2 linked regions of the Styela clava genome follow. The protein of the gene in region 2 purifies or fractionates together with the protein of the main gene of each other region. This does not show direct contact. Links are inferred from orthologs where the notes say so. Each region holds a gene or a part of one and is shown on either strand. Other genes may lie near its edges.

Region 1 (10,634 bases), on a different chromosome or scaffold from region 2:
TGCTTGTTGCAGGTAAAAAACGGCGGGAAGTCAGTTGGTGAATGGGGTGAATTCCATGTTAATAAGTACAGTCGGATTTCATGCGGAGGAGTAAAGAACACTGCTGTCGTGGAAGCAAATGACTGGGAAAAGAGAGTCGAAGATGATGTTTTTGTGTGGACTGCACCCAGTCAATGTGATTTTTCTGCACAGTTTTATATACCTACGTAAGGAATATTTCATAGTCTTTGTTTTTACATACTGCAATTGAACACATATACGGTAATAATTTAAGATACCATAACCGTATTTTAATAATACATCTCATGAATAGTTGGGTCTCCAGCCAAAAGCAATTTTTATATGATGATCGTTTTATTAACTTTTACCATAGTTATCGGTAGATGCTATGTGATCTTGTAAAAAACGAACGTATTTTTTAATATCATTACTCTATATTCTAAGCAAACGTGCTGTTGATATATTTTATGTTTTTAATGCTTCTGCAGGGTTCGAGTGATTAAAAACGACAACGAATACTCGCCTAAAATGGTAACGCGTCTGGAATGTATTCAAGACACAAACGACCCACATGCGATGCCGGAAATGTATTCAGGAGATGCATGCACCAACAATCACACTAAGATTCCTACAAGCAGTAGGAATTATTTTCATATAAAGAATATTTTGATATATATAGAATTATTTGATTGTTCGTGTCATAAGAGACCACTGCGACTTTAGAAAAGAGCGAAAGACTATGTCGTGACAGTGAGATAAATTGGGAGATATCTAAATATTAAGCAGAATTAAAGACCTAATACACCGGTAAATAAACTATACCTGGACTGTGCAGACCAGTTCCGTATTATCGGATTTTCTCTCCCTAGCTTTAATACGAGTAAAAGCCTATTCAATCACAAACATTTTATTGATCATGCAATATTAATAAAAAAAATTATATTTAGGAACAAAATTTGTTTCCGAGAAAAAATATTCATATTTTTAATTTATTTTTAAATTAACAGATACTGGGTTTGAAACAGATTTTGGGGGATGGTGGAATGAACCAACAGCGGCATTGAGATGGACAAGACAATCGGGACCAAGCCCGTCCCCTCAAACTGGTCCAATGCAGGCTATTGAAGGAAGTGAGTGTTTACGACCATCTTCACGATTTTATAAAACGAATTGAGTCATTTGTGAGAAAACCTACATTTATATCGATCGCACAGGTGTACATTTTCACATGGACCTAGATTGACACTTTCTACAGTAAAAGCCTAACCAAATCATCGTTTCTTTATATAGAACCAGAATAAATGCCTAATCTTATACGGCTACCGGGTGCGAAGTAGATATAAATCGAGATTATAATTTTTATCCCGGTAGGCCGATTCGATAACATTACGCTGTTGTAATCATAATATAGGGATCATCACATAGGGATATTTCAAAGCATCAACGACGAATTATATTTCTTCAGAATGGTACATTCATGCTGAAGGAAGCTATCCAGCTAGACCAGGAGAGCAAGCAATATTAAACAATCCACCTGGACTAGAAGGTTGTGCTTGCGTCAGAATAGAATGCCATATGTTCGGTGGACCAGGATTAAGATTCGACTTCAAAATCAACGGTGATATTTCCTTCAGTCATGTCGTGTCTCTGGATGAGTGGATCCGTGCTTATTCGACTGTAAATGTTCCTGGTGGTGCCTTGGTGAGCGTTTTGTGTTCATTTTATGTTTGCTATCACAAAAAAGACCTGGACAAACGAATTGATTGCAATAAAAATCTGTTCCATGGAAAAATCGCTTCCGCCTGGTTGTTCGGCATCAGCAGTCCCATGTCGTCAATTTGGTACAACCCGAGTTATTTACTACTGAATCAGTCAAATTTTGAACAAGTTCAATTCATCTGAAGTTATCGATATAGGCTCAAAATCTACACAATAAAAATTGATTTTGTGAATCAGTTGGAAATCCACATTATTTAATATTCTGATCCCAAAGTTATATTATAAATACCAAACAACAAAATAGCATTCTCTATATCGGTAATGTGTGTGATCTGTTAATGAGTAGAAAGCATCTTTTGATGTTTCTTCGTCAATTTCAAACTCAAACCTCAAATAACAATTTTTTTTTTAACTGTGATCCAACTCGTTATTTGTGAGCTAATATCTTATAAACACGTACAGATCAGGTTGTTAACATTCAACTTTTCATAGGTCCAACTTGTCATGACAAGAGGAGATGATTTTCGAGGTGATCTCGCAATTGATGACATCACAATAGAGCCTGGAATGTGTGCCGAGGACGTTCGTCTCAATAAAGTGCTTTGAATCATTTGAATGCATCACGTGAATTTGCGATGGAAAAATGTATTAAATTTAAGCACAAGAACATTTTGTTGTATTAGTAGTATTTATTGTTGTTGAACAGACACAGCAAACTTTTCCATAATTTGTAAGCAAGTCAAACCTAAATGTAGTTGCTAATGTGATATAGTCAGTATTTCCATGAGAGTAATATTACAAATATTTACTACCCTCTGGTTTCAGTGCGTAGTCCTCGCAATGCCATTCGTAGGATAGAGATAAACGCTGTGAGTAACTAGTATAAATCTTAATAAATTTAGGCAATATAATGTATGGACGCTCATTGTACACAAAACTTCCCTTGTTGTGAAATGAGGATCCAATACGACAGTGTTCATAATTTTCAGATTGCCATTATATCTTCAGTATTTTATCTTGTTATTTATGAGTGGCCTACACTACCTCTGTTGGACCGAATTAAATATTTTCTATAATCTATAGCAAGCTTTGGGGAAAAGCACGTCGGAAAGTCCGATCAATATTATATGGCGATTTGCGGGCACGCCATAACGAAGAACGCAGCGCTCTCATAGCGCAAAATTACCAACAATCTTCGCCGAGTTACTGTCAGAGAAGGCCGCCGCCAAAGCAGGGTTGCCAGATCCCAGTGATGAAAAAAAGCCAAATTAAGACGAAAAAGGCCAACAATTTTACTAAGTAGGCTACAAAAGCCCCATGATTTGATGCTACCATGGCGATTTCCACTTCAGCGAGATGACGGGTTTAAAAGTAAAAATGATGAATTGAATGACAGCACCAGAATGTACATTCGACATAATACAGTTAAGCTGACATCCATATGTAAAAGTTAATAAAAAATCAAAAAAAAAATAAATATTAATCGGACAGCATTATTCAACAATTCAATATATACACAGAGTGCCGATTCAGTATGTGATATACCTTAAAACATTCTCCCTAAACATTTTGAAACCATCAGTTTTATTAAAAAAAATTATCGAACCACGTGCCGCTTACAGGTGTACTGATAGCTTATTTTAGCCAAAGTGACTATGTCACTTTGTACCTAACCATTGCAAAATTGTCGGTGCTCATTTTAACAGTGGTTTCGCGATTTGGCGCCTGTAAAGTGGGAACAATATGTTCTTTGAAAGTGCTAGTAAAGAATTTTAGCCTAGTCTATCACAGCTATTTCTACACTAATTTTTGATTACTGCAACTAAACTGAAACTCCTAAGAAGACAACGTGATCCTTGAATTATTTAATATATATTTAAATATCCGAAACACAACTGGAAACTAACAAATAGATTTCAAAAAACGCGAAAACGAGGTAATGTTCACCACGCCTGAAAATCTATCTGAAAGACAAAGTGTCTGAGCTGATGCGAAAATGGGCATTGTTACGTCCCTTTTTGCATCTTGCTGATTGGCTTATGTCACGAAGTAAACAAATAAGTCGATGCTCGGGAAAACACCTGCTGAGTCTTCTGTGGGCCAGAACTGCGAAATTGCTCTGAAACCATTGTAAAGTAAGGGATCCTAAATTTACCTTATTACGTCAAACGTCACTCTGAGGTTAACCGGTTACGGTATGTTAGTCGTTGCCGGTTACTGGTGTGTTTCACTGAAATTCTACTGTCTATATATTTGCCCATATGCTGGTACCGTATAATGTTAGGTTTCCTTCATGCACGACGTGAATAAAATATCTGAATCCTAGGAGATCCTCCGCTCTGTAGGATTAGTTTTTTTTTTAGTACAAAAACGTCATAAAAAATCATGTCGGGTATCTGATTACTGGAGTACCGTATGGGGTTAGTTAGCCATTCTGTGCCGTCAGACCGTACCGGTACGGTCAGACGTAAATGTCGAAATGGCAGGTAAAAAGTCTGCATTTAAAAAGTAAACATACATTTCTGTACTGCAGTGACTACAAACATCAGTAGTTCAGTGAACGTTCAGTAGTTTATAGTAGTAGACTACCATATGTATTTTAATATAGTCTAACTGAATCTGTGAGTGGTTCACAGAAACAGAGTTACCTTCTAAATTATACTGTTATGGTATCTATAGTTATAGGAAATATTATAGATGGAGGCTACATCATCTGATTATGAAGACCACAGGAAGAAATGGGACAGAGATGAATATGAAAAACTTGCACTGGAACGACTGAATGAAGAGAATGAAAAGTCTGAGGAATTTAAAGATAAACCTGTGAAAAGAGATTTGTTAAAAGCAAGAGATTATAAAGTTGATTTAGATTCCAAGTAAGGCTTTTAAAAATCCAGATTTCTTGTTATTCGATATGTACAACTCTCAGTTCCAATGCGAACATTTATATGATTTTTGTGCTTTTTGTTTTTTATGCTGAAGACTTCTGTAATGACTCAATTTTATAATTAATGGCATAAATATAAATAGAGCATATCAACATATATGTTAATAGGGATATCGTACCAGTTTCAGACTCAATTGCTCACATTTTACTGCAACTCAAAATGAAATCATTACTTTTGTCACTTGTTAGTGGTTACAATGCTGCAATGTATCGGTACTATCTTGCATATGATTGAGTGACTCTTAATTCTTTGATAATTTTGTCTATAACTGCGTTTGAAAAGTAAAGAACTCATTGGTATTCATTTTTGTAATTCTAATGCAGACTCAACAAATCTGTCGTAATCAGTAAAACAACAGCAGCTGCAGATTGCGGAGGATATTATTGCAATGTATGTGATTGTGTTGTTAAGGACTCAATAAACTTTCTGGATCATATTAATGGTAAAAAACATCAACGAAATATGGGAATGTCAATGAAAGTTGAACGTTCCACGTTATCCCAAGTGCAAAAAAGATTTGAAATGAACAAGAAAAAAATGGAAGAAAAGAAGAAGCAATATGATTTTGATCAAAGAATGAAGGAACTAAAGGAAGAAGAGGAAAAAATGAAAGCTTATAAGAAAGAAAAGAAAAAGAGAAAACGAAAAGCACAGGAAGAATTGGAAGTGTCGAATGATGACTCTGACATTGCTGCCATGATGGGTTTTGGAGGATTTGGTGGTGGCAAGAAACGATGACAGCTGGCTTGCACAGTATTTTGTGGTATTTTCAAGTACACAATTCCAGATATTGTGGTATAAAATTTTACAGATTACTTTTTTATTCTCAAATATTCCTTTGATCAGAAGTGCTGGCATTTTTAGGTATTGTTTTTTTTTTCGAAAGCATTGTACAAGCATCACAAATTTTCAGTTTCAACATTTCCTTTCCAGTTTATTATACTATACACTGGGTCAGAAGTCATATGGAGGTATAGTATTTTTTAATTCGTATGACCTATAACATTTTTATCCTAATGGAAAGGAAATGTTTCAAATTTGTGTGTTAGTTCGATTTGACAAAGCCCCAAGTAGAACGCTTCAGTGGCTCATGATAGATAAATATGGAATAATTTAAGTTTATGAATATTCAAACTATTGTATCACTGTTGTGGATGTAAATAATCTTAGCTCTTTTTTTTGGAATTGACAATGGAAATATACCCGAGTATTCTGATGAAACAGTCTTTACCAAGTAACACTTTTTTACAAATTCTGATGTTTTTAATTTATTGTCAGTGGGTTAAATATGTATTCTATTATGTTTTTCAATATTTGGTTGAGAACAATCTGTTCAAAAACTGTGATTGAATATTTTGGTGTTGTATCTAATATCTACATGATATTGCTGATATAGGATCATTTTGCACATACTGATAGTTGAAATTTACCATATTTTTATTGAATATCCTGAATGTAGATATAAATGCATCAAGATTATATCTTGTGAAACTTGATTTCAGTGTGCAACAAAAGCTTGATTCATGTCAGTCAAATTTATTATGTTACAGTATGTTTGATATCAGAAATGATAAGAATGTGTAAAATTTGCCATTTAATTTACTGATAGGATTATAAAATATCATACTGTCTGTCACAAACATCCATTTCCCAATCAGTGAAACTCATCCTTCAGTAATTGTTTTTAAATCTTATCATATTAGGTTATTATAATATTCATCTAAATATGGAAACCGTTTCTTTAAACCCAATATGCTGTATGAGAACCTGTTTTAAAACTAAAAATGGTACACCAAGACAGCCTTCTATATCTTCTAGCACGAGGGGCCAGCTTACAATCGATAAATCTATTTTTACTAATCCTGAACATAGTCTTGACGGATTAGAGGAATTTGCCTATGTATGGGTGCTTTTTTCTTTTCATTTGAATCAAAACAAGGGCGTTAAAGCGAAAGTGAGACCGCCAAGACTTGATGGTGCCAAACGTGGTGTGTTTGCTACAAGAAGTCCACACAGGCCAAACCCAATAGGGTTGACACTAGCAAAGCTTGAAAAGGTAAATGGTTCTACATTGACTTTATCAGGGTTGGACATTGTAGATGGAACACCAATATTGGACATTAAGCCTTACATAAAACAATACGACTTTCCATCTGAAACTGACAGTGAAACTGAGTCTGATAATAGTAATGTTGAAACTTGTGTGAAGTCTGACCAAGCAACAAGAAAGCGGGATAACACTGAAAAAGTGGAGAGCTCCGAATCCAATGAACCAAGTTCGATGAAAAGTACACTACCTGATCTTATCGTTGTATTCACATGCAGAGCAGAGGCTGACCTTTCGATATATAGCAAAGGAAATAAACTTGATGTAACTTCTGAATATAGGTTGGAGCATATTAGCAATGCAGAAGATCTGAGATCGTCAATAGAGGATATTTTGAAAGCAGATCCCAGATCAACCTATCGCAGAAATAAGTGCTGTGATAGGTGAGATGATTGCTATTCTAAATAAAATTTCCTAATCAATCGAACCTTTGGGTTGATAGGTCTTTTTATGTGCTGAATTTGAGCACAAATTATATCATTCAACCAATTCCAGCAATTCGATTTACATTGATATGTTGCCACACTCAACCTATCATCTGTGTGGTGTCACATTTACCTTAAAATAGACATTCTGCTGTGAAAAATCATAAATGAATGGCGGTTTGAATGCATGCCCACTACATTTTTTTATTTGATGTACAATGATTTTAGCTTCTTGCAAATCAAATTATATTTTTGTTATTCAATATCATGTTACAAACTTAGTTCCAATCAGATGGTTTTTATTACAAGTTTAAAAACAATATCCTTACCCAAACTTTGCAACATATATTTTTTATTGATCTAGAGTTACAATGTATTGAAAATCATGTGAAATATGTTTTATTTTCCAGATTATATTATTTTCTGATTGATAACTGTCATGTGACTGCTTGGTTCGACTACTCTACATTTCCAAACACTGCTGAAGTATTGCGGGTGAAACCAGAGAGTAAGATCGTGTCAAGTTCATAGAACAACATTGTTACAAAAAATATACAACAGAAAACTATTCATGTATGAAGTACATTTCGATGTCGATCTGTACAATGTAAGATCTTCCACCCTACTGTGTATGTAATTCAAGAGTCCAACTATCACAAATGCATTTCTGTGGAGCTTCCGTCTGGCCAAAGTCAGGCCTCCTCTCCATTGTCATGCAAAATATATCAAATATGTTTTAAATCGGGGCTTGTCAAACTGGAGCTCCCGAGCCCTCTGTGTGGGTCGCGAGAACGCGCAACGGGGTTAGCGGTAAAATCTTCTTCGACACTGACTTGGAAGAATTGGAACCAGTACTGAGACTCGCCATTACTGAAATAGAGCCGATATGCGCTCTTTTGTGCGAGAATATGCAAGCTCATTGGGATTGTGGCTTTTGTTATTTTCTGTATTAACAGATTTTAAATACTCAAGGCCGCGAAAAAATTCGAGTGCGTTTCGATGATAGAAGTTTTAATAACACTGTTCTGAATAATCAATCAAAATTAGTGTATAACAATCTGTTGATTACATAAAAGCCACCTCATGGTGCTAGACAAAAGCCCAATCAGATCACTGTCAAGCGGAGAGGAAAAGAATCGCATTATATATAGAAAAATAAATTGCATTTCAGTTATGGAATTAGGCCTGCGGTGGGTTTCATAAGTGTTATCCTGATCGGGATTGCGTTCAATTATTAAAACTGTGCTCTTATCGCTTCACTCAGTGAGTGATAGTTAAATAAGTCTGTGTTTAGTGACCATTCGTTAGCGAGTGAGAGAGAGATTTTATTTTTTTTGTCAACCAAAATAAAATAACAGTCACCGCAATAATGACGACCTGGTGCAGTGCAACGATACGTCGTGCAAAAGCGGCTATCCAGACGCATTTCTCACAATTTCTTCGGCCTGAAAAAAACTAAGTTAAGTTTCTCTTCTAACTTCCTATTATTCCATGTTCTCAAGTCCTTGAATACCTATATGAATAATATGCGGATACTTTTGTTGTTTCAGTAAAATTTTATTGTTGGTTTTCAAACACATCAATTTAGACTTTCTTAGAATTATCAACCGTCATAACTTTTTTTCACGGGATATAATTGGGTTGGGCTAAATAGCCCCAAGCCATTTCCTAAAGACTAAGGTTTCACATTTGATTGGGACATTTTCATGCATTGGTAATTAGTATAAAAGCTATCCTATATTCACTGAGTAATACCCCTAATTCACCTCCTCACTCAAAACCTAGGCGCGCAGCCAGGATTTTTAAAAGGGGAGAGGGTTTAAAACCGGAAATTCCCATTCCCTTATGAAACAGTCGCCGCGATTACGCGCTCGTTAAAATAGACCTCTTTTTTTTACCGATTTTTCTGTCACGTAAAATATTCAATTCATCACAGCTACGATAATCTAAAATTTCCTTCTATATTAATTAAATTGTGTACAACGTAACTCGTGGTTTCGTCTTCTTTTGTCAAAATAAAAACATTACAACTCTGAAATACCACGTCAATCTGTTGCCATAGAAATATGAGATGAACTGCCTTAGTGTATTTAGTTTTGATACTTATTTTTGCGATCTTGCGAATTCGTTATCGCCGTTAGAAAAGATCTGATATAAAATCACGTAGAGTACAATTTAATTTAGTACACAGAAAGAGCGAGAGTTAATTCCATCTTGTCAAACCAAGAAAACAATAAATGCATACATATATATATAAATATCAAATAAAAAGATGTTTTCGGTACATGACTGGGAGGCAACGATACGACCTTTGAAAGTCTTCAGGGTCAGTTGTCATTCAATTAAATGAGCATAAAAATAACAGGTTCGGTGTCTATATATCAATACCTCTCATGTTTGTTTACAATATTTACATGTTTATTTTATTTTCGAAGCGAAAGTATGGTATACGCTCTTTCAACTAACCGAATTTGACACATATTATATTGAATTTCGAAAATATAAAAATACAATTAAATACATATTAAGTATATTAGTGAAATCCCCGTGGAACGACTTTTTCTACGAATAATGATGATTTTTGAATATTCAAAAATATTTGCTTTATTGATTTAATTGTTTGCAATTTGACCTGTGGTTGCGTACTTGCGTTGGCAAAATAAAAGCACTACTACCCTAAAATACCGCGGCAATACACGGACATAAAAATGTGTGGTAAATTACCCCATTATATCTTCCTTTGATAGATATTTTTGCAATCTGGACAAATCTGAGCTGTATACTTACAACACTGACTCCGCTCTATCGCAATGCTGCCTCTCAAAATTATTGTCAAGGTAAAACAGTTTTTGATAAAGTTTACAAAGCTTATTTATAGATAGGTGTAGTTAGTGACATATAATGTGATGCACTTAAACAGCCGAAGTTTTGTTAATTTCTTAAATACCAAACACCATTTACATAATAATTTTTGCATTTCACTATTATTGCAATTTACTATATTTATAACAAAAAATTATAAATGTTTATGTACGACTATCCAAATCATTTTTGAACAAAGTTTTGATAAAGAAAGAGTAATACATAAACTAAAAATGACTTCGAAATAAAATTTACAATACCACAGAATAAACTCAATGTTTTTATATTACATATGTCGTGACCGGTATGTTAGTCGTTGGTCGTGACGTTCGGCATCTCTTGTGTGCCACCAGCTTATTAATATCAGGCCGAAATGAATTTACAGTACCAACTCTAATTAACGAGGTCACATGATCATCGGTTAATCTGGATTGTTAAGAATGTTTGATTAATTCAGTAATGCAAAAAGATTACGTTCATAATTTCATGTATAGATCAGTAAACAAACAAATGCGTGACTTTTCGGTTTTCTTTTAATTCCTGAAGTGTTTTTTTCAAGTATTCTTTTGCTAG
Region 2 (10,634 bases):
AAAATCTATCAAGGACGAACACGGATTTCGCATCCCGTGAGAGAGACCAATTAGATAATTTATTCACCGGCACAGAAACTACTGTAATCGCTCATCCGTTCTTGATGTGCCATCCTAGGCATAATAACAACAGTAACAGCTGTACTTACACCATAGAAAAATGAATCAACTGAACGACTTTAAGACCTTATTCTACATAGAAATAGCTTCACGGGACAAGAACATATCCAAAACATGCAGATGCATATTGTTAATCACAACATTGAGCCAAATAATCTGAAACGTCGTTGTCGGTATCTGTTCCCATTTGGCAGGTCACGGTTCGATTCCCCCCACCATACAGTTCATGCATCATCTCAAAGGAAGAAGTGGCTAACCATACCCGAAATTACCCAGTGACTGGACGATGGGCTCGCCATAGTATTCGGCCGCCATTCCTGTTTTACTTCCTGCTGGGAAACTCTTACCATATCCATATCTTGACTATCAGTTTGCTACAGATGTGGCATTTCCATGAATTAAGCTTTCTTGCTGCTTAGCTTTCCCACCCTTGGAATAAATACGAAATTGAACAACTCGAAAACGTTTGAAAGCGAGATATTGAATGCGGATAAATATATCATAGTTCAGATATAGTGAAATAATATACATTAAAAATGTACATGGGATTATTACATAAAAAAATTACAAATGGCACATGCACAAGAAAAAACGATTAGTTATTAATTAGTTATAATGGTCGAAATAAAACTGTTATTACCTGTATATAGTAAATGTAATATAAAAATCTGAATCTTAGGAATCATATATATTTGACTTCCAAGTTCGGGACTTGCTATTCAAGTAGAATGAATCATGAAATAACTGCATACAGATGATCTGGTAGCAAATTAGAATCGTCAATTTTCATTTAATGCTATCCTTTTGTTAGATCAAACCGTAGACAATTGCTAGATTACACAAGATATTTAACAATAAGCAAATAGTGGGAAATGATTTGTTAAATTTTGCATCATCACCTTCATTTTTCCTCCAAAAATTTTTTAATTTAATGAATCAACATCAAACTTCCTAGTTCAGGAAATATGTGGAATTAATTACATAAGATATATAAAAGAGTAGAAGTCTTGTGATATTATTTATTAGATTAAAAATTATTTTATGACAAGCTTGCCAATCTACGCTCTGTGCCAATTGACTGGTTACCCTGTACTACACACACACACACAAATTAAATTCTATCCGATGAATCATAGTGGCCAAATCAAAATAGATGACGTTAGAGCAATAAAAATTACATTGCATTCCAAAAGAAGAATTTTAATGCATTCAAGATGACTAATACATTGGTTTAATCATCTAGGTATACAGGGCTGCCGCGTGTCATAACATGAAGCAATAAATGACCTACTTATGAACAAATTATTCAAATTTATAACAGAGTTGTGATGCCTGAATTATGATAAAATAATTGGAAAATACTATGAATGCTCAATACATTAGAAAAAAATATAATGACTAGGGAACGTATACGAAGAAAATAAAAAACATGGAACGGGAGATATAAATTAATATACTGAGAAAAATCAATTGTTTGTACTTTATATTTTACTTCAAAGTAGTGAAAAATAAGGTGCTAACATTGAATCAATACAGATTTCAGTTTAGTCCTACTCAATTACACAATTAAGCATCTTTAAGTAGTGATTTTAGTAAAACACACAAAATACACAATTTGAGTACTGTACTTCTCAGGTTAAGAATATGTAAATTCAACTCTTCTTCGAAACTCAGGCATAACCTCAAAAAAAAAATTACGCAATCTGCATAGACTTATTGTTTCAAGTTTGACATGAACTTTGAGACAAAAGCGCCACACTCATCTGTAGTTTCATACGAGGATTGATGATAAACGGTAAAACATTTATCATGTGAAAAATATCGGTCGATATGTCTGAGATGTCGCTATAGTTCTAGGTCCCCATGTAGTCAACAATTACAGCTTAGAGATAAGGTCAAGTCAATAACAAGTTACTCATTAAAATATTGGACTAAATATGTTTTGTTGACACAAAGCAATTTTATCATTCATCCTCCCTGATTATATTATGCACGTTTAAAAAATATTATATCTTGGAAGACTTGGTTCGTAACTAATCTCCATTAGTTAAAATTAACAGTACCTTCTGGCAAACTAGCATTGCATAAATAGAAATATCTCAGATCATTGACAAAATTTTGTAAGCATAACACAAATGATGGTTGATCAGATTCCTTATTGAAACTTTTATAAAGTGTGTCTTTTTGTCCTGGTGTAATACCATCCAAGTTTCTTAAAAATTGGGGCAAAAATTTATTGTAAAAAATGTCGAAATCAACCTCCGCCATATTCCAAGTTGTCGAATAAATTTCTTCCTTCAATAAATCGTGTGATTTTTGAACCAATGCTTGAATTAACACAGTGATAAACTGGAACAATATATTCTCATCTGCCAGAAGTTTATAAATTTTTTCATACAATTTTTGTTTTAAATTCAGATTATCAAGGGCATTTAAATTGTGACGAAATATACTGATATCAGGCTGCAGAAATGACTGTCCAAATGCTTGCATAATAGCAAGAAAGTCTTTCTTATGATTAAGCACACCAACCTTATCACCTGTAAGATAGGAAGCGAGCACAGGTGCTGGAAAAAAGTGTCGATTTTTGCGTGACAGAATGTGAAATAGTAGACTGAAAAGTGCTTCTTTCACATCAGGTGATGGACGTTGTGCAACCACAGGGTATATCTGATCAATTGCCAAAGTTATGATGCTTTGGGTCAGAGATTTAAATGTTGTTGTCGACTCATCAATAACAAGCTCTAAAATTTTAATAAAATGTTCGACTGCTCTCACTCCTGCAGAATTTTCATGCATAATTGTTTTCTCCAGGACATCTGGTGTAAAAACCTTCATAAAAGTTTGTATCATTCGCACAGTTTTTTCATGACCCATTTGGGACCGAAGTCCCCGAAAAGCAGCGAGAAAAAATCCCATTAGACATTCTGTAACATCAGGGTGATCAATATAAATAGGGAATAACTCAAGACACAGTTCTATAGAAGATTGCAGGGATACATGGCATATCTGTCTCGTTTTGACAATTTCTTCTCCCACAGCATTCACAAGATCTTCAAGAATATGGAGTGATTTAATAATAATTTGCTTTGCTTCAACTTTATTTTGTATAACCATCTGAATTCTATCACTCAATGATAGAAATTCTTTTAGCAAAGCATTGATGAATGCAGAATGATTTTGCTGTCTTGCATCCCAACATTGCTCCAAATCTGGTGTATTTGGCCAGGGTAGAAGAAGCAAATTAGATAGAGACCGATACACCAATTTTTGTGATTCTATTGACAGTTTACCGCATGAACCCCCAGCAACGTCACTATATAACTTGTCAATGATGGGCGACTTCAGGAGGAATGCTGCACGAATGGTGTTTATGGCAGATAACAAGGTGTGGCTAGCAGGAAGTACCAACTTGTCAGGGACTTCCGGACTGAGCATTGGAATAAGAGCATTTAAATATCCCTGCATGATATCTTCTAATTTAGCTTGAGAGTGGCCAGCTTGTTGAGAATCTGTATACAGCTGAAATAGCCAATGAGTGAAAGGTTGAAGGGTTGCAAGAGATTGGACATGCACCTCTATAACATCAGAGTACAAAACAGTTGGTATTCTTGCTTGCATTTCATACAACTTTATTCTGCTCCCGAAAACAGAAATAGTCAAAAATTTATCAATAAGTGACATGGCTTCTGTTCTTTGCGGAAAATGTTCTCCAATGAAATATTCCGATAAGCGACCCAATGCTTGTAAAACTGTAGAAAGATCTTTCAATGCACAATGAATACGATTTAGCGAATCATTAGAGCCAGGAATACTGAATTGGCGGTTTGGATTGTGAGCCGGACTGTTCATAAAATCGCTGGTTTTAACATATAAATTTTGATTAACTGGTAGAACATGCCTACCTAACTCAAGGTAAATGGCTGCATTCTCTTCTAATATTGGGTATAATAATGATAATGTATCAGATGGAAAAAAATTGCATATCTTGGCTACAATTTCCAAGTTTTCGATCACAAATTGTTGCCATTCTGTGTGGCCTGAATCATCAAGTGTTTCATTATCCAATTCTTCAAGTCTGTTCTGATTGAACTGATACTGTAATTGAGTCATAATTAATTTCACAAGCAAATGTAAACCTTCTTTATAGGGGGCAAGAACCATCATACGAGCATCTTCCCCCTTTCCTTCTAACTTATTACTGAGGAAATCTAGGAATAGTTCCCAGATATCCAAACAATTGTAGTAACCATCAAACATTGGTTGGTTGAAAGTGAATTTAAACAAGAGTTCCAAAAATTCCAATAAAGGAAAGTTTGAGTTACTTTCAATTCGAATAAAATGTACACTGACGAACAGTCTCAAAAATTCTGTAAACTTCTCCAAATAATCCTCATCCAATAATTCCAAATCTGCTCTCGGATTCTCATTTTTGGTCACATGTTTGAGAAAATGGAAAATAAACTTGAACACCCTAAGTAAATAGTCTTCAAAATTGTTAGGGATACAATTTTTTGCCATAAGTTCATTTATACATGTCATTGCTAGAGTGCCAAGAGGTAAATTTGGCATATTGGAATGCTGACCAAAATTTTTGCTTGTAATCAGAGATGAATGAACACCAAATCGTGTGTAAGCAAATAACACATTTAACAATCGTGATGAAATGTTGGATGACAAAGGTATCCAACTGAATAAATGGCACAGGCATTCCAAAGCTTCTAAAGCCAATTTGTGTGATTTCTCAGGCAAAAATGGTGGTAATGTTTCAGATGAATAACCAAGACTGTCAGAATCACCCATTTCAAACAATCCCATAAGATCAGATGCTGTTGAATTCACTTGCTGTGGAGATGAAGAAATAAATATATTCGAATCATTATCTGTAACGCGGGAATGTTTTTTCCATTCTTTTTCTAATGTGTCAGAAATAATATGTAGAATTCCAGGTGCTTGCTGAAGAAGAAATCTTCTGAGTTCTTTCTTTCGCTGATGTGGCAGATCTTCTCTAGGTAATGCCATTTCTTCTGAGATTATACGAAGAGCATTCAAACCCATTGTCCGGGTCTCTTCATCATTTGGTGGACATGCTAGTGATATTATATTAGTGAAAAAATCTGGATAAAACATTGGCCAATCAAGTCGACCAATATCAACAATCACTTTCAGAAGCTTCTTCTTGATAAATGAAGCAACAGTTTTATGTTTTTCAATCAATATGCGATACAAACTGGCACGTATTTCGGTTTTCTCATTAACGTCCACACCCATCCACATTTTATTAGTTAGATTTTCCAGAACTGACAAACAATACATCATGACGTATTCATTCGATGTGCGATTAAAAAAATATAGGCAATGTTTCCACGATCCTTTCTGCTGTCCGAATCGATCCAATTGTTCTTCAATCTCTCTTTTTCTATGATTTGATGTTGATGTATGAAAAAATTCTGTCATAATGTTTTCCAAAGCATGGAGAGAGTGTCCGTCGTCCCCCATGATGCAAATAAACTAGTTGAATAAATTTACTTTAACAAGAAAAAAACAAGAATTATTTTTATGTGTGGAAAAGAAAGAGAGTAGAAATGGGAAGTAGCATACTACTGTACTATGTTCAAGTAGAATAAATATTGCAAAACTCTCAAAAAGCTTTGGGAAAACAAGGACCTATCTTGTTTATTCATATTTCTGTATTTATTGTCTTGGCCAACTACCATATCCTGATACCGGTATCCGCATACTAATACTGCAGTCCCAAACTTCTTTTCCTGTCATGTGAGATGTACATTTCCTACATGCTGGCATGTCTGCATGTAGACTGACGACAACAAATCTCTGTTAGACTACCGTACTATGTTCATTATTCAGGTGCTCTTATTGCAGTATTGCTGCTCAGTCCTACATTCTGGCATTAAATACAAAATACAGTAACAAATACCGGTACAGAAAGCCGTGACAAAAACTCAAGCATAAGGCATAAGATATATTCAGAAATTTGTTATCTTATACCAGAATACTGAAGCTACGGTATTACATCGATTTGTACAGGATACAGATTATTACGCATAAGATATATTCAGAAATTTGTTATCTAACGTAATACCAGAATACTGAAGCTACGGTATTACATCGATTTGTACAGGATACAGGATTATTACGTCTATTTTCACATAATATACAGAATAGCACCAAGAGACGAAAAATTTGTAATGTATTGTGAGACAGAAACAATTATTGACGAAAAGGAAACTAGTTCTAATCGAAAGTTAGAGTACCGTACCGGTACACCTTTACTATATTCTGATATCACCGTACTATGCGGAACTCACCTACGAAATGGCACACAGGGACAACGACCAATATGTAAATTTCTAATCATGACTTCCGCGGACCTCTGTGAAGCTAGCAGCAAATCACGAAATTGTGACTGACAGAATCGCAGAAAATACCCACGCGTAAAGTTAAATGTTCCCAATGATTTTTAAAAGAAAGTGTATATTTTGATTAGTTTTACAATAGCAAATAAAGCAAAACAATCATTAACTACACTACTCGTATTGTTAATATATAGTAAACAAGCTAAAACGACTATTACAGTGCATACATTTTTTTATACTATTTTGAGAGTTGTTTAAAAATGACTGAATTTTCGCCGTTTAAGACGGTCGTTTCATGAAAACCTCCAATAAAGGCAGCATTGCAACACCATTGGTAAAAAGTAGAAACCTCAAAGATTCGATTTCATTATGTCAGAACAGTCTCAGCATGTTTTGACTTGGCCATATATAATACTAAACATAGCGTATAATTTTCAATTTTATGCACAATGTATATACAACAAATTTAAAACTGATTTTGTATTTCAACTAAATTTACTGGATAGTTCATCAAAGAAGATATTTTTCTCTTTGTCACACAACAATAATGCACTTCATTAAACTTAGAATAAGTTGGAGAAAGTCTAAAATACCAAAAAAAAATTTACGCCCTCATGTGGATTCTTTAGCAAATTTCACAAAATTATCGTTTTTGAAAGAGCGATTTCTCAAAAACCGCCAATAAAGGCACACATTCGGAGAAAAAACGGTACCTTATAAATTTGATTTCATTATGTCAAAACAGTAGCAGCACGTTTTGAATTGGCCAAATATAATACCAAACATAGCGTGTATTCAAAATTTTATAAACAATGCAGACGTAACATATTTAAAAATGGTTTGGTTTTTCAACAAAATTTACTAGATAATTTATAAAACATCTTTTTCTCTTAGACATACATATATACTGTAGGTCCATTAAACCTGGAATGAGTTGCGGAAAGTATGAAATAACAAAAAATCATTTTACGCATTCTTGTTGATTATTTTCAAATTTTCAAAAAATTATGTTTTTGAAATCGCGATTTCTCAAAAACCGCCAATAAAGGCAGCACTACGACACATTCGGAGAAAAGCAGATACCCTATAGATTCGATATGAATATGTCTGAACAGTAGCAGCACGTTTTAACTTGGCCATATATGAAACCAAACATAGCATATAATTTTCAATTTAACTAACTATGTAGATGTAACATATTTAAAAACGATTTGGTATTTCAACTAAATTTACTGTATAACTCATCAAATACTTTTCTCTCTTGGTCATACATTAAAACTGTACGTTCATTAAACTTGGAATAAGTGGCAAATCCTAAAATAACAAAAAAATGATTTTACGCCCTCTTGTGGAGTTTTTTCGGAATTTCAAAAAAAAATCGTTTTTGAAGGGCGATTTCTCAAAAACCGCCAATAAAGGCAGCACTACGACACATTCGGAGAAAAGCAGATACCTTATAGATTTGATTTCATTATGTCAGAACAGTAGCAGCACGTTTTATATATAGGTTGTAAGACATTTTTCATTGTTTTATACGATTTGCATCTTATTCCAAGTTTAATTAACACACAGTATCGGTGTTTGAAAAAGTAAGAAAACGGAATATTACGATATTAAGTGAGTTTATTTGAAATACCAAACCTTTTTAAAATATGTGAACATCTACGCTATTCAAATTATTGAGATATACGCTATGTTTGGTATTATAAATGGCCAAGTCAAAACGTGCTGCTACTGTTATGGTATAGTGAAGTCGAATCTAAAAGGTATTTGCTTTTTTCCGAATGTGTCGTAGTGCTGCCTTTATTGGCGGTTTTCGAGAAATCGTCCTTTCAAAAACGATTATTTTTCGGAATTCAGAAAAGAACCCATTATAGAAAGCGTATATTTTTTTTTTTCGTATTTTAAACTTTCCCAATTAATTCTTAGTTTAATAAACGTACAGTATTCATTTGTGACAAAGAGAAAAATATATTTCATCAATTTTCCAGCAGCTTCAGTTGAAATATAAATCCATCTTAAATTTGTTACGTCGACATTGTTTATAAAACTGAGAATACACGCTATTTTGGTATTATATATAGCCAAGTCAAAACATGCTGCCACTGTTTTGTTATAGTGAAATCAAATATATAGGGTATCTACGTTTCTCCGAATGTGTCGTAGTGCTGCCTTCATTGGCGGTTTTCGAGAAATCGCCCTTCCAAAATCGATAATTTTTCGAAATTTTGAAAAGAATCCACGAGAGGGCGTAAAATGTTTTTTTGGTATTTTATACTTTTCTTCTGCAACTCATTCTAAGTTTAATAGACGTACAGTATTAATGTGTGACAAAGAGAAAAATATATATTTTATCAATTGTTCAGCAAATTTAGTTGACATACAATTTCTTTTTAAATTTGTTTCGTCCACATTGTTCATAAAATTGAAGAGTATACGCTATGTTTGGTATTATATATAGCCAAGTCAAAACGTGCTGCTACTGTTCTGGCATATTAAAATCGAATCTATAAGGTATGTGCTTTTATCCGAATATGTCGTAGTGCTGCCTTTATTGGCGGTTTTCGAGAAATCGCCATTTTAAAAACGATAATTTTTTGTAATCCAGGACAGAATCCACTAGGAGTCGCAAATGTTTTTTTGCTGTTTTATACTTCCCGCAACGTATTCCAAGTTTAAAAGATGTACAGTATTAATGTGTGACAAAGAGAACATTATATTTGATCCATTGTCTAGCAATTTTAGTTGAAATACAAAATCAATTTTAAATTTGTTACGTCCATGCCGTTATTAAAATTTAGATTACACGATATGTTTGGTAATATATATGGTCAAGCCAAAACGTGCTGCTACTGTTCTGTTATAAAAATATCGAATTTATAGGGTATCAGTTTTTCTCCAAATGTGTCGTGGTGCTGCCTTTATTGGCGGTTTTCGAGGAATCGAGGTTCGGAAAAGGATAATTTTCCGAAACTTTGTATTTGCGGAATGCCTGGAAATTCATTTTTCGCTTAGTTGGTCTTTTTTTAAACACTATTTTCTTATTAAATTTAATGTATTATTTTAGTTTAAAGATTTTTCATCTATTTTCGTGCCAATATTATATTTTGATCAGCATTTTCAATTTCCATATTTACCTATAAGTGAACACTATATGCGCGTGGAACCTATATTCAATGTGTAATAATATTCTGGCTGAAAGTGCTGCTAGCTTCACAGTGGTCTTCCGCGGTGTTCCACCGCCCTATCTGCAATGTATCTTGGCGTCACCGTGTGACTGGGAAAATTCGGACGGACAATACGGCTATAGTGTATTTCGAGCTGGCTAGGTTTCAGTGACACGACGCTGGTACATAACCTTTGAGGAACAACTCCGTGGTTACTACCAGAAAAAGTGCATATTATCAAAACTGCACACAGCAATTGCCTCGGAGGAAGATGTTAAGACAGGGCTCGGCAACCTACAGCCCGCGGAGTAATAGAATCGGCCCGCGACGCTTCGCTGAATTATAGTAACAAAGCAGCTGTTTTGACGATTTGAGACACTTGTAGACTAAATTATATTATGACCTTACAAGTATATTCTTCACAATCACTCGTTTAATGTGCCTATAAAGCTATAATGTAATTATAATTAGACAAATAGCAACAAAACGAGGAAAAGATGATGCTAAGTACAAATGGTTCAACGAAAAATATCCAAATGGTCAATCTTCGCGCGCTGCTTAAAATTTAACTTCTGACCTGTGTGAAAATATGTGATTCATCAGCCACCCGTTCGGTTTTTAACTTTCTAAAATATGTGCGGCCCGCCAATGACTCGCAACCTTATATTTTGGCCCGCGAGTGACAAAAGGTTGCCGACCCTGACGTAGAGGCTGATCGGTGACTACGACTTTCTCCACCTTCAAGTCCATACTTCCAAAAACAAATACCCGGCTAACTAACCCCCATATCCGACATGGACTGGTAACCGATCGGGGGGGGGGCGTAGTTTGCCACATGATTAATCCGTCTTATCGAACCCCTGGGATAAATATGTAAATTCTATCCCATCTACGATACTTTGACAAGAGTGATGAAACATGTGAATGTGAAAGTGCATTAAGTCAGTAGTTTGTTTCATCACATGCCGAA

Evidence for each region.
Region 1: the proteins of exportin-6-like (region 2) and zinc finger matrin-type protein 2-like purify together in Homo sapiens (co-immunoprecipitation; 3 studies listed by BioGRID and IntAct, with this or other methods). This does not show direct contact. The link is inferred for Styela clava from reciprocal best matches to the Homo sapiens genes XPO6 and ZMAT2.

Annotation. Positions count from the first base shown.
Region 1 is NC_135251.1:24,956,788-24,967,421, reverse strand, and holds zinc finger matrin-type protein 2-like, read left to right. Parts: upstream 1-3,729; 5' UTR 3,730-3,854; intron 3,855-4,416; coding exon 4,417-4,595; intron 4,596-4,990; coding exon 4,991-5,405; 3' UTR 5,406-6,370; downstream 6,371-10,634. Other genes in the region: uncharacterized protein LOC144419940, read left to right, coding at 13-206, 489-637, 1,008-1,130, 1,466-1,701, 2,212-2,325; tRNA (adenine(37)-N6)-methyltransferase-like, read left to right, coding at 6,394-7,157, 7,610-7,730. UniProt on the Homo sapiens protein: Involved in pre-mRNA splicing as a component of the spliceosome.
Region 2 is NC_135256.1:14,540,851-14,551,484, reverse strand, and holds exportin-6-like, read right to left. Parts: upstream 5,668-10,634; 5' UTR 5,620-5,667; coding exon 2,164-5,619; 3' UTR 1,453-2,163; intron 1,411-1,452; 3' UTR 582-1,410; downstream 1-581. UniProt on the Homo sapiens protein: Mediates the nuclear export of actin and profilin-actin complexes in somatic cells.